Linked DNA regions of Coturnix japonica. The protein of the gene in region 1 interacts with the protein of each later gene in a biochemical or structural test. Links are inferred from orthologs where the notes say so. Each region holds a gene or a part of one and is shown in the gene's direction. Other genes may lie near its edges.

Evidence for each region.
Region 2: the proteins of APEX1 (region 1) and MUTYH form a complex in vitro, tested with the Homo sapiens proteins (3 studies listed by BioGRID and IntAct, with this or other methods). The link is inferred for Coturnix japonica from reciprocal best matches to the Homo sapiens genes APEX1 and MUTYH.

Annotation. Positions count from the first base shown.
Region 1 is NW_015439873.1:108,898-114,161, reverse strand, and holds the start of APEX1 (DNA-(apurinic or apyrimidinic site) lyase), read left to right. Parts: upstream 1-2,170; coding exon 2,171-2,209; exon of another isoform or gene 2,210-2,873; intron 2,874-3,226; coding exon 3,227-3,349; intron 3,350-3,940; coding exon 3,941-4,016; intron 4,017-5,264.
Region 2 is NC_029523.1:18,649,540-18,655,081, reverse strand, and holds the start of MUTYH (adenine DNA glycosylase), read left to right. Parts: upstream 1-2,224; 5' UTR 2,225-2,568; coding exon 2,569-2,701; intron 2,702-2,789; coding exon 2,790-2,911; intron 2,912-3,018; coding exon 3,019-3,058; intron 3,059-3,310; coding exon of another isoform or gene 3,311-3,350; coding exon 3,351-3,424; intron 3,425-3,549; coding exon 3,550-3,591; intron 3,592-3,665; coding exon 3,666-3,737; intron 3,738-3,907; coding exon 3,908-4,021; intron 4,022-4,117; coding exon 4,118-4,215; intron 4,216-4,422; coding exon 4,423-4,567; intron 4,568-4,778; coding exon 4,779-4,854; intron 4,855-4,928; coding exon 4,929-5,126; intron 5,127-5,232; coding exon 5,233-5,378; intron 5,379-5,509; coding exon 5,510-5,542. Other genes in the region: TOE1 (target of EGR1 protein 1), read right to left, coding at 384-555, 834-1,093, 1,354-1,512, 1,607-1,703, 1,797-1,837, 2,021-2,131. UniProt on the Homo sapiens protein: Involved in oxidative DNA damage repair. Initiates repair of A*oxoG to C*G by removing the inappropriately paired adenine base from the DNA backbone. Possesses both adenine and 2-OH-A DNA glycosylase activities.

The DNA of each region.
Region 1 (5,264 bases):
CTAGGGGGGCCTGTGGGGTCTCTATGGGGCTTTATGGGGACCTATGAGGGTCTATGGGGTCCCTATGGGGCTCTATGGGGTCTCTATGGGAGACAGTGGGGACCTATGGCGTCTCTATGGGGGTTTATGGGGCTCTATGGGGTCTCTATGGGGCTCTGTGTGGGTCTATGGGGTCTCTATGGGGCTCTATGGGACAGTGTCTGCACCACCGCCACCAATGGGGCGCCCATCCCCGGCCCTATAAGTGGGGGGGAGACTTAATGTGGTTTATGGGGGATCCATAGGGCTCTATGGGGCTCTAAGGGGTCTCAATGGGGTCTCTATGGGGGACTATGGGGTTTTATGGGGGACTAGGGGGCTCTATGGGGCTTTATGGGGACCTATTAGGGTCTATGGGTTCCCTATGGGGCTCTATGGGGTCTTTATGCGGTCTATGGGGCTCTATGGGGGCTATGAGGTCTATGGAGTCTCTATGGGGCTCTATGGGGTTTATGGGGGTCTATGGGGTCCCTATGGGGACCTATGGGGTCTCTATGGGGGTCTATGGGGTCTCTATGGGGCTCTATGGGGTGTCTATGGGTCTCTATGGGGCTTTATGGGGATTTATTGGGTCTATGGGATCTCTATGGGGGCCTATGGGGTCTGTATGGGGCTTTATGGGGACATATAGGAGGCTATGCAGTCCCTATGGGGCTCTATGGGGGGCTATGGGGCACTATGAACGTCTAAAGGGTTCCTATGGGTCTCTATTGGTCTCTATGGGGGCTCTATGAGGCTCTATGGGGACCTATGGGGTCGATGGGGTCCCTATGGGGCTCTATGGGGGTTTATGGGGCTCTATGGGGTCTCTATGGGGCTCTATGGGGCTCTATGGGTCTCTATGGGGTCTCTATGGGGCTCTATGAGGTCTCTATGGGGTCTCTATGTGTCCCTATGGGTCTCTATGGGTCTCTATGGGTCTCTATGGGTCCCTATGGGTCTCTATGGGTCCCTACGTGTCTCTATGGGTCCCTATGGGTCCCAATGTCCCCCTATGGGTCTCTATGGGTCTCTATGGGGTCTCTATGGGTCACTATGGGTCCCTATGGGTCTCTATGTGTCCCTATGTGTCCCTATGTGTCTCTATGGGTCCCTATGGGTCCCTATGGGTCTCTATGTGTCCCTATGTGTCCCAATGTATCTCAATGGGGTCCCTATGTGTCTCTATGGGTCCCTATGGGTCCCTATGTGTCTCTATGGGTCCCTATGGATCCCTATGGGTCTCTATGGGTCCCTATGTGTCCCTATGTGTCCCTATGTGTCCCCACCTTTAGTGAACGCGACCCCATCGATGTCCTTCGGTCCCATCCCAGCGTCCCTCAGCGCCTCCTCGATCAGCCCCAAGATGGCGGCGCGGTGATGGCGGCTCACAGGGCCGGGAGCGAAACCTGAACCCGGAAGGAAACGGTCACGTGACAGGAAGTGACCCCCGAAGAAACAGGAAGTGGGGGGGGGCCGCCATTAACAGGAAGTGGATATCCATTAACAGGAAGTGGAAGTGGGGGGGGACAGGAAGTGGAGGAAGGGGGACAGGAAGTGGAAGTGGGGGACAGGAAGTGGAAGTGTGGGGGTCCCCATAAACAGGAAGTGGGGTCTCCATAACAGGAAATGGAAACAGGGGAAACCGAAACCGGAAGTGTGTGGTGGGGGGGTTGTATTCATCAACCGGAAGTGGGGGGTGGGGGTCTCCGAAAAACCGGAAGTGGAAAAAGGAAAAGGGGGGGGGGAGGGGAGGGAGTGTCCTCCATTAACCGGAAGTGGAAGGAAGGGGGTGGTCACCCATCAACCGGAAGCGGAAGTAGAAGGGAGGTTCTCCAACAACGGGAAGCGGAAGTAGAAAGGAGGGAGGGGTCCTCCACCAACAGGAAGTGGAAGTAGAAAGGGAGAGGGGGTTCTCCAGCAACCGGAAGCGGAAGTTGAGCTCGAAATCAACCGGAAGCGGAAGTACGAAAGGAGATGGGAGACGCTTCAATCAACCGGAAGCGGAAGTGAAAAGGGAAGTTCCGGTGTGTCCTTACCGTGTCCCGGCGGTGTCACGTAGGTCGCCCTGCGGTTACTCAGCACTTCCCCGTCCCGAACGATCCCGGCTCCCACTTTATTGGCCGAACCCTCCAGGCCCAACACGGTCGGCATGGCGGACGGCTTCTTTAAGGCCCTATTTCCGGTTCCGGTGGGAGGGACTTCCGCTTTTAGCCCCTCCCATCCACATCCGGGTAGTAAAGCAATGAGCTGAACCCGTCTAGTCGACTTTACGGGTTCACTTCCGGTTCCGGTGGGAGAAACTTCCGCTTTTAGCCCCTCCTACCAACATCCGGGTTCTAAAGGAACGAGCTGAGGCCTCCTAGTCGGCTCTAAGACCCCATTTCCGGTTCCGGTGGTAGGGACTTCCGCTTTTAGCCCCTCCTACCAACATCCGGGTTCTAAAGCAATGAGCTGCAGGAGTCTAGGAGGATTTAAGGGCTCGTTTCCGGTTCCGGTGGGTGGGACTTCCGCTTTTAGCCCCTCCCACTCACATCCGGGTTCTGAAGCAATGAGCTCAGGCCTCCTAGTCGACTTTACGGGCTTACTTCCGGTTCCGGTGGGAAGGACTTCCGCTTTTAGTCCCCGCTACCCACATCCGGGTTAGAAACCAACGAGCTACGGGCATCTGGGAAGATTTACAGGCTCACTTCCGGTTCCGGTGGGAGGGACTTCCGCTTTTAGCACCTCCCACTCACGTCCGGGTTCTAAAGCAATGAGCGGAGGCCTCCAAGTCGACTGTGTGGTCTCATTTCCGGTTCCGGTGGGAGGGACTTCCGCCTTTAGCCCCTCCTACCAACATCCGGGTTCTAAAGCAATGAGCTGACCCCGTCTAGTCGACTGTACGGGCTCACTTCCGGTTCCGGTGGGTGGGACTTCCGCTTTCAGCCCCTCCCACCCACATCCGGGTTGGAACCAATGAGTTGCGTTTGTTCCTAGGGGAGACTTCCGGTAGCTTCACGAGCCACTTCCGGTTTACCGCAGCGCCAATGACGTTGCGTCACTTCCGCTTTGCCGCAGCCCCACTTCCGGTTGTGCTCGCACTCACTTCCGCTTTGCCGCAGCCCCACTTCCGGTCCGCCAATGCGATGGCTTCTGGCTCTCATCGCGGCCACTTCCGGTACCCGTCATTAACACGTGACACTGTGCGACTTCCGGTGTTCTTAAGACCTTGATTTCCGGTTCCGGTTTTCGGAGCGAACAACACAAGGGCACAGACCGGTCCGAGCTCTGCTCCGCTTCCGGTGTTTCCATGCTCTTCTACTTCCGGTATCGACGTTACTTTCCGGCTGTGAGTCCAACTTCCGGTTTCTTCCTGCTCCCTTCACTTCCGGTAACCAGCTTCCGGGTTTCGGGAATCACTTCCGCTCAGCTTGAACGTCACTTCCGGTATCCAAGTGTCTTCATGCCCTACTTCCGGTTCTTTTCCGCCTTTTGCGGACAACTTCCGGTCAGCCTATACCTCACTTCCGGTATCGCGGTGTCTCTATGCTCTACTTCCGGTCTTTTACCTTGTGACGTCACTTCCGGTCTGCTTGTCCTTTCCCTCACCGCTATTTTGTACTTTATCCTCTTTCTATCCCAACTTCCGGTTGGCGCCGACGTCACTTCCGCTTCCGCCATATCCCCGCCGCCATGTTGTAGTTTTCCTCCCGAACTCCAGACCCCGCTTCTCGCAGTGACGTCACTTCCGCTTCCGCCCCATCCCCGCCGCCATGTTGTAGTTTTCCTCCCGTACTCCATGTCCTTCCTCTCCCAGTGACGTCACTTCCGCTTCCGCCCCATCTCCGCCGCCATGTTGTAGTTTTTCTCTCCTCCCGCCTCTTCGCCGTGACGTCACTTCCGCTTCTCGTCCTTGCGACGTCACTTCCGTTCCTCGAAGGCACTTCCGGCTTTCGGAGACACGAGGTGGAGCGGGATGCCGAAACGGGGCAGGAACCAGCAAGATGGCGGACAAGGTAACGGGGGGGTATGGGGGATATGGGGGGTCTATGGGGCTTTATGGGGGATATGGGGGCATTGGAGTTTCTATGGGGAGCTATGGGGACATATGGGGTTTCTATGGGGACATATGGGGTGTCTGTGGGGCTCTATGGTGGGATATGGGGGGATATGGGGTTCTATGGGGTCTATGGGGGGATATGGGGACATATGGGGTTCCTATGGCGATCTATGGAGGGATATGGGGTGTCTATGGGGCTCTATGGGGTGTCTATGGGGCTTTATGGGGGATATGGGGGCATATGGGGTTTCTATGGGACTCTATGGGGACATATGGGGTGTCTATGGGGCTCTATCGGGGATGTAGGGGGATATGGGGTTCTATGGGGTTTCTATGGGACTCTATGGGGGCATATGGGGTGTCTATGGGGCTCTATGGGGCTTTATGGGGGATATGGGGTCATATGGGGTTTCTATGGGACTCTATGGGGACATATGGGGTGTCTATGGGGCTCTATGGGGGGATGTAGGGGGATATGGGGCTCTATGGGGTTTCTATGGGACTCTGTGGGGACATATGGGGTGTCTATGGGGCTTTATGGGGGGATGTAGGGGGATATGGGGCTCTATGGGGTTTCTATGGGACTCTATGGGGACATATGGGGTTTCTATGGGACTCTATGGGGGGATATGGGGCTCTATGGGCTCTATGGGGTGTCTATGGGGCTCTATGGCGATCTATGGGGGGATATGGCGTGTCTATGGGGCACTATGGGGGGATATGGGTTGTGTATGGGGATCTGTGGGGCTCTATGGGGTTTCTATGGGGCTCTATGGGGGGATGTGGGGCTCTATGGGGGATATGGGGTTTCAATTAGGTGTCTATAGGGCTCTGGGGGGATATGGGTTTTCTATGGGGCTCTATAGGGATCAATGGGGTGTCTATAGGATGTCTATTGGGGGATATGGGGTTTCTATGGGGACATATGGGGTGTCTATGGGGCCCTATGGGGCTCTATGTGATGTCTGTGGGGTTCTATGGGGGGATATGGGGCGCTATGGGGTGTCTATGGGGCTCTATGGGGTGTCTATGGGGGAATATGGGGCTCTATGTGGTGTCTATGGGGTGATATGGGGGATATGGGGCTCTATGGGGTGTCTATGGGGGGATATTGGGTGTCTATGGGGCTCTATGGGCTCTATGGGGTGTCTATGGGGCTCTGTGGGGGGATATGGGGAGCTATGGGGGGATATGGGGCTCTATG
Region 2 (5,542 bases), on another chromosome or scaffold:
AGGTAATATTTTCTGTATCTAACTGAGCTACGGGGCGGGGTAAGAGGAAGCACTTCTCACTTGAAAAGCAAATCAAGCACATTTAGAACGTAAAGCCCTTCCAAGACAGCAATGAGTGCTGTAATACATCCTGGTTCTCTATTCAGGGCTATCTTATCTCTTCTTTGAACACTGGCTTCAAATTAAACTGTGAAATGTGCTCCCTCAGAACAGAGCACATTGTTGCCTTTTCACTTTCAAAACCATCTGAAGCTTGAAATTCTTCCCTGTATTGTGAAGCAAACAGATGGAACCTCCCAGGTGCTTTCCTTCTACTTCCTGCTCTGGCCACACGTGGCTTTCTCTACATGGCCAGGTAGGAAGCAGGGACTCACGTTACTTACCGAGAATTTCTCACACACGGGCACCTTATTTGCCTCTCCCTCGCTGTAGTTTGCTTCTTCCAGAGAGCAGTGGCGATAGTCGATGTAACGTGACATGTTGGCAGAGTAGTTGCAGAACTCCACAGAGATGTGCTGGCTGCTGGCGTCCTGCAGCTTGCTGTTCTCTCTCTTGCTGCAACACACAAGAGGACGCAGTTACTGTGGTTAATTTGCCTAAAGCACCCAGCACAGAGCTGCTACAAACACACTGCTTTGAGCCAACTCTCCGCTTCCCTCATTTCTTGTCCTTGAGCTCCAGCTTAACAGCCTGCTGCAAAGACAGTCCAGGGAATAGAACTTTAATGAGAAGTTGTTTCTATGCCGATTTAAATGTTGGTGTCTGGAAAAAGAAACCAAACTGAATCCCATGTCTTTTTGTCCCAGAGCATTAAATAGCAGCGTGCCACTCACCACTTCTTGTAAGCGTATTCCAAGTAGGATGCAACAAAGCGGGTCTCAAACTCTGAAGCGTATTTAGTGTCATATATTCCTGCTGGGAACATTTCTGAGAGATCAGAGGTGAAGGTGCCAAGGCTGTCTGGGAGGTGAGCATAGAAGCACTGGTACAAGAAGACAAGGTCAATCAGGCCGTTATGGAGGACGAGAGGTTTCTTTGCTCGAATGAGTTCCAGGAAAAAAGTCCGGACACTCTGGATCTGGCTCTCATTGCCCTAAAAGAAGAAGAATTAGTCAACAAGTCTTAACACACTGAAGACATCTGGTGCAATGGCAACTCAGAGCATGTTACAGCAGAACTCCATGTAGAGCCACGCTGTGTTCTGACAATGGAGATACCCACGTAGCTGGAGAAGCAGCTACAACAAGGGATGAACAACAGGGAGGAGAAAGGGCTGTGCTGCACTCAGCTGGGAGCGCAGCTCACAGCAGAGCAAGCTGAGCTGAGCGAGGGCATCAGCCCATGATTCTGTACCTTATCGTTGCCCTTGTGGTAGGGGATGCCCTGTGAGTACTGCTTATTGAAGTCAAAGCCGTGCTGCACCAGGAACTGCACCGACTGCGGCTCGACGACGTAATCCTCCGTGCAGAGCAGCGTCAGGTTGTAGATCTGGCAGAGGAACGTGTTCTCAGACTGCGGGATGAGATCAGAACCGGGACTCAGAGCGGGGGGTGACGGACCGGGCCCAGCCCCGCCTCCCACCCGCGTGCCCGGGAGCTGCCGTTACCTTCTCCGGGAGCTGTTTGAAGCACGCGACGCCGAGGGACAGCACCGAGCGCGTCCGTGCGGCGCTGCAGACGGCTTTGTAGCGCTCATCGATGCACCTGCCGGAGATACAGCCGGAGATACGGCCGCTGAGGAGCCGCGGGACCGCAACAACAGCCGGAGGGCGGGGACCCGACCCCACGGTCACTCACGGGCTCAGCAGCGCCTTCCTGTTCCCCAGACCGCTCAGCTCCTGCGGGAAAACGGCGCTCAGCGGCACTGCACAGCACGGCACGGCACGGCACAGCATGGCACTGCACAGCACGGCACGGCACGGCCCGGCACGGCACAGCATGGCACTGCACAGCACTGCACGGCATGGCACAGCACTGCACGGCACGGCCCGGCCGCGTACCGCCCCCCCCGCCCATCTCACCGTGTCCACCGCGATGAAGGTGGCGCTGCGCAGTGCCAGCACCATGCAGGGCCACAGCTCGGTGAAGTTGTCGCTCTGTACATCCACTACCGGCACTCTGCCCCGCGCCATCACCGCCCGTTCCCCGCCACGCACCGGGCCCTTCCCGCCCGGGGCCGCCCCGCACCCGCCCGTTCCCACCTCGCGCCCCGCCCGGCCCCGAGCCCCGCCCCGCTGCCCCGCGGAGCCCCTGCCCGCTCCGTTCCGTTCTCGCCGTTCGAATCCCGATTTCCGGTGATATTTCCAATCCGAACCGAACCGGCGTTTATCGGGGCGGCCCCGCGGGTCCTTCTGGGGCTGCCGCTGTGACCGGCGGGAAAAGAGGCGGGGGAGCCGCTCAACTGAAGGGAGGGGCGAACCCGCTCCCGTCATGCCGCTCTGTGATTGGCTCAGGCCTGGAAGGCGGGTCCGCGCCGCCCGCTCTGATTCGTCCCCGAGAAGGGGCGTGGCGCCGGAGGGGAAACATTTCCCGGGAAAAGCGCACGTGTGTCCCGCGGTTGGTTCCCGCCATGAGCCGCCTGCGGGCGGCGGCCGCGCGGGGGATGCGGGAGCGGCGGGGAAACGGCAGCGCGACCCCGAATGGGGAGAACGGCAGGAACGGCAGCAAGAAGGGCAACAGGAACCGTGTGTCGGTCCGTGAAGGTGCGTGTGGGCGCGGAGCGTGCAGGGCTGGGCCTCGGTCGCCCTGAGAGCGCTGCTCTGAGCCCACCCCGCGCCCTTCTCCCGGCAGGGGCTCCCGCTCCACCGCACTCACTGCATCTCTTCCATGACCCCGTCGAGATCGATGCTCTCCGTGACCGCCTGCTCGCCTGGTACGATAAAAACCGGCGGGACCTTCCCTGGAGGACGCTGGTAATGGCAGGCGGGAGTAGCACAGCTTGACTCATCTTATGTTGTATGAGGGTCTCCTTGCAGTGAACGCTGTGCTCCTTTGTCTCTCATACTCCGTTCCCTTTCAGGCTGCAGCTGAACAGGATGCTGACAGACGGGCGTATGCAGGTGAGGAATGGGGGTGGCTGTATCCCATGTATTGCTGCCTGACACGGGATGCAGCGTAGCCTTGTGAAGGCTGTGGCTTCAATGCTGTTCCTGTAAACAGCTGCTTGGACCCCTGGTGGCATCTGAGAGGCAACTTTGGGCCTGAGAGGGGGATCCTGTGGGGATGGGGATGGGGGTGGCTGCTGGGCTGGGTGCTGCTGCAGTTCTTGGAATCAGCACCACGGTGACTGGGGTGCACGCTGTGGGAAGCAGCACTGGCACCTCTGCACCGATCCCTCTGTGCTCCCGGCAGTGTGGGTGTCTGAGGTCATGCTGCAGCAGACACAAGTGGCCACAGTGATCGACTACTACAACCGCTGGATGCAGGTGACTGTTCCTCATGCAGTGCCCCCGACCCTCCTGCTTTGGAGGCTTTACTCTCTGCCCGTGGCAGGCTTCCATCTGCAGCTCTTGGCTGTCCTCATCCTGAACTTGTCGCCTCCCTCTTGTAGAAGTGGCCAACACTGCAGGCGCTGGCAGCAGCATCGCTGGAGGTGAGCAGTGTGGTGACGAGTTCAGCCCTCACTGCTCTGCCTGTGTCTCCCTAACGCTGTGTCTCATGGGGCAGGAGGTGAATGAGCTGTGGGCAGGACTCGGCTACTACTCACGAGGAAAGCGCCTGCAGGAGGCAGCGAGGAAGGTGCTGGAGGCATTTCCTAAGCTCTCTGTGCCTCATGGGTGGCTGCTGGTTCGCACTTGCTCTGCCTCGCTGGAGCTGAGCTGGTTGCACAGGGCCATGGAGGCTGGGCATCCTCCTTATCACATGTAAATCTGCGTCTGCTCAGCTGACATTGGCTGCCCTGTCTGCAGGTGGTGTCGGAGCTGGCCGGCCGGATGCCCAGGACAGCTGAGGACCTGCAGAAGCTGCTGCCAGGAGTGGGTCGATACACAGCAGGAGCCATTGCTTCCATCTCATTCGGGCAGGTGAGAGCTGTCTGGAGGGAATGTGACTCCTGTCACTGCCACCTTCCTGCCCCTTGCCAGCACCTCCCAGTTTGCTGATCCCTGCTCTCACTTCAGGCTACTGGTGTTGTGGATGGGAACGTGATCCGTGTGCTGTGCCGCCTGCGGTGCATCGGTGCTGACAGCAGCAGCCCGGCTGTTACCGACTGCCTCTGGTGAGGGGAGCTGTGCTGGTGGCGGCTGTGATTGTGTGTTGGTAGCTGAGGGCAGGATCGTTTAGAAGCCACGGGGAGCTGAGCTGAAGGGGGGAGGCTGGAGCAGGAGCGTTAGAGGCTCGTGGGGGTCATGGGCTCAGGAGGCAAGTGGAGGTCATTGGGTCTCTGCATGTGGAGCTTCGTGTCACTCACAGCCATCTCTCCCAGGGACATGGCCAACACCCTGGTGGATAGGAGCCGCCCGGGGGACTTCAACCAAGCTCTGATGGAGCTGGGGGCAACTGTGTGCACACCCAAATCCCCGCTGTGTAAGGAGTGCCCAGTGAAGGAGCACTGCCATGCCTGGCATAGGGTAAGAATGGCCCCCAGACCCATCCCTTGACAGTCTGTGGGTGGCAGAGGCCTCTCGCTGTCCCTGTAGGGGGTGATAGAAAGTTCCTCAACCTCCTCTGAAGCATCAAGCAAGACTTGGCTGAGTACTGAGTCCTGCATTCCTACCTGGTGCCAGCCCTGGGGGTCACTGCATGTGGAGATGGGGTTGGACATGCTGTTGCCCCACACAGGTGGAGAAGGAGCTGGTCTCTGCCTCTCAGAAGCTGTTTGGAAAGACCACTGTGGTGCCTGATGTTGAGGACTGTGGTGAGCACCCGGGTTGGTCCCTGTGGCAGCTTTGCATCTGGGCCCCGCTGTGACCATTGTGTTGGTGTCTGCAGGGACTGGGGGCTGTCCCTTGTGCCTCCCCACTGCCGAGCCATGGGACAGCAGCCTGGGGGTCACCAACTTCCCCCGCAAAGCAGCGAAGAAGCAGCCACGGGCAGAGCAGACAGCCACGTGTGTGCTGGAGCGGAGGGGCCACCTTGGGGCCTCTGAGTACCTCATAGTACAGAGACCCAGCTCAGGTACAGGGCCAGGTGGGAGCAGGGCACAGGCACCAAAGGGTACTGAGATGGGGTAGTGGGATGGCACTTGCTCCTGGGGTGCAGAAAGGAGCCTGCTGGGCTGTGCACACCCTCACAGGGCTCCTGGCTGGGCTCTGGGAGTTCCCCAGCCTCCCGCTGGCTCCGGGCCTGAAGGAGAAGCAGCAGAAGGAACTCCTGGCTGACCACCTGCAGGCGTGGATAAAACAGCCTGTACAGACACAGAGCTTGTGCTTCATTGGGGAGGTGAGTGTGTGGCCAAGCACCGCGCACCATGGGGGACGCAACACAGAGGGAGGGTCCCCATTCCCTGATGTCACCCTTCTCAAGCCCTGCCTGCATGCTGCCAATCTTGCTGTACTCTCGTCTCCTCGCAGGTTGTCCACATCTTCTCACACATTCACCAGACG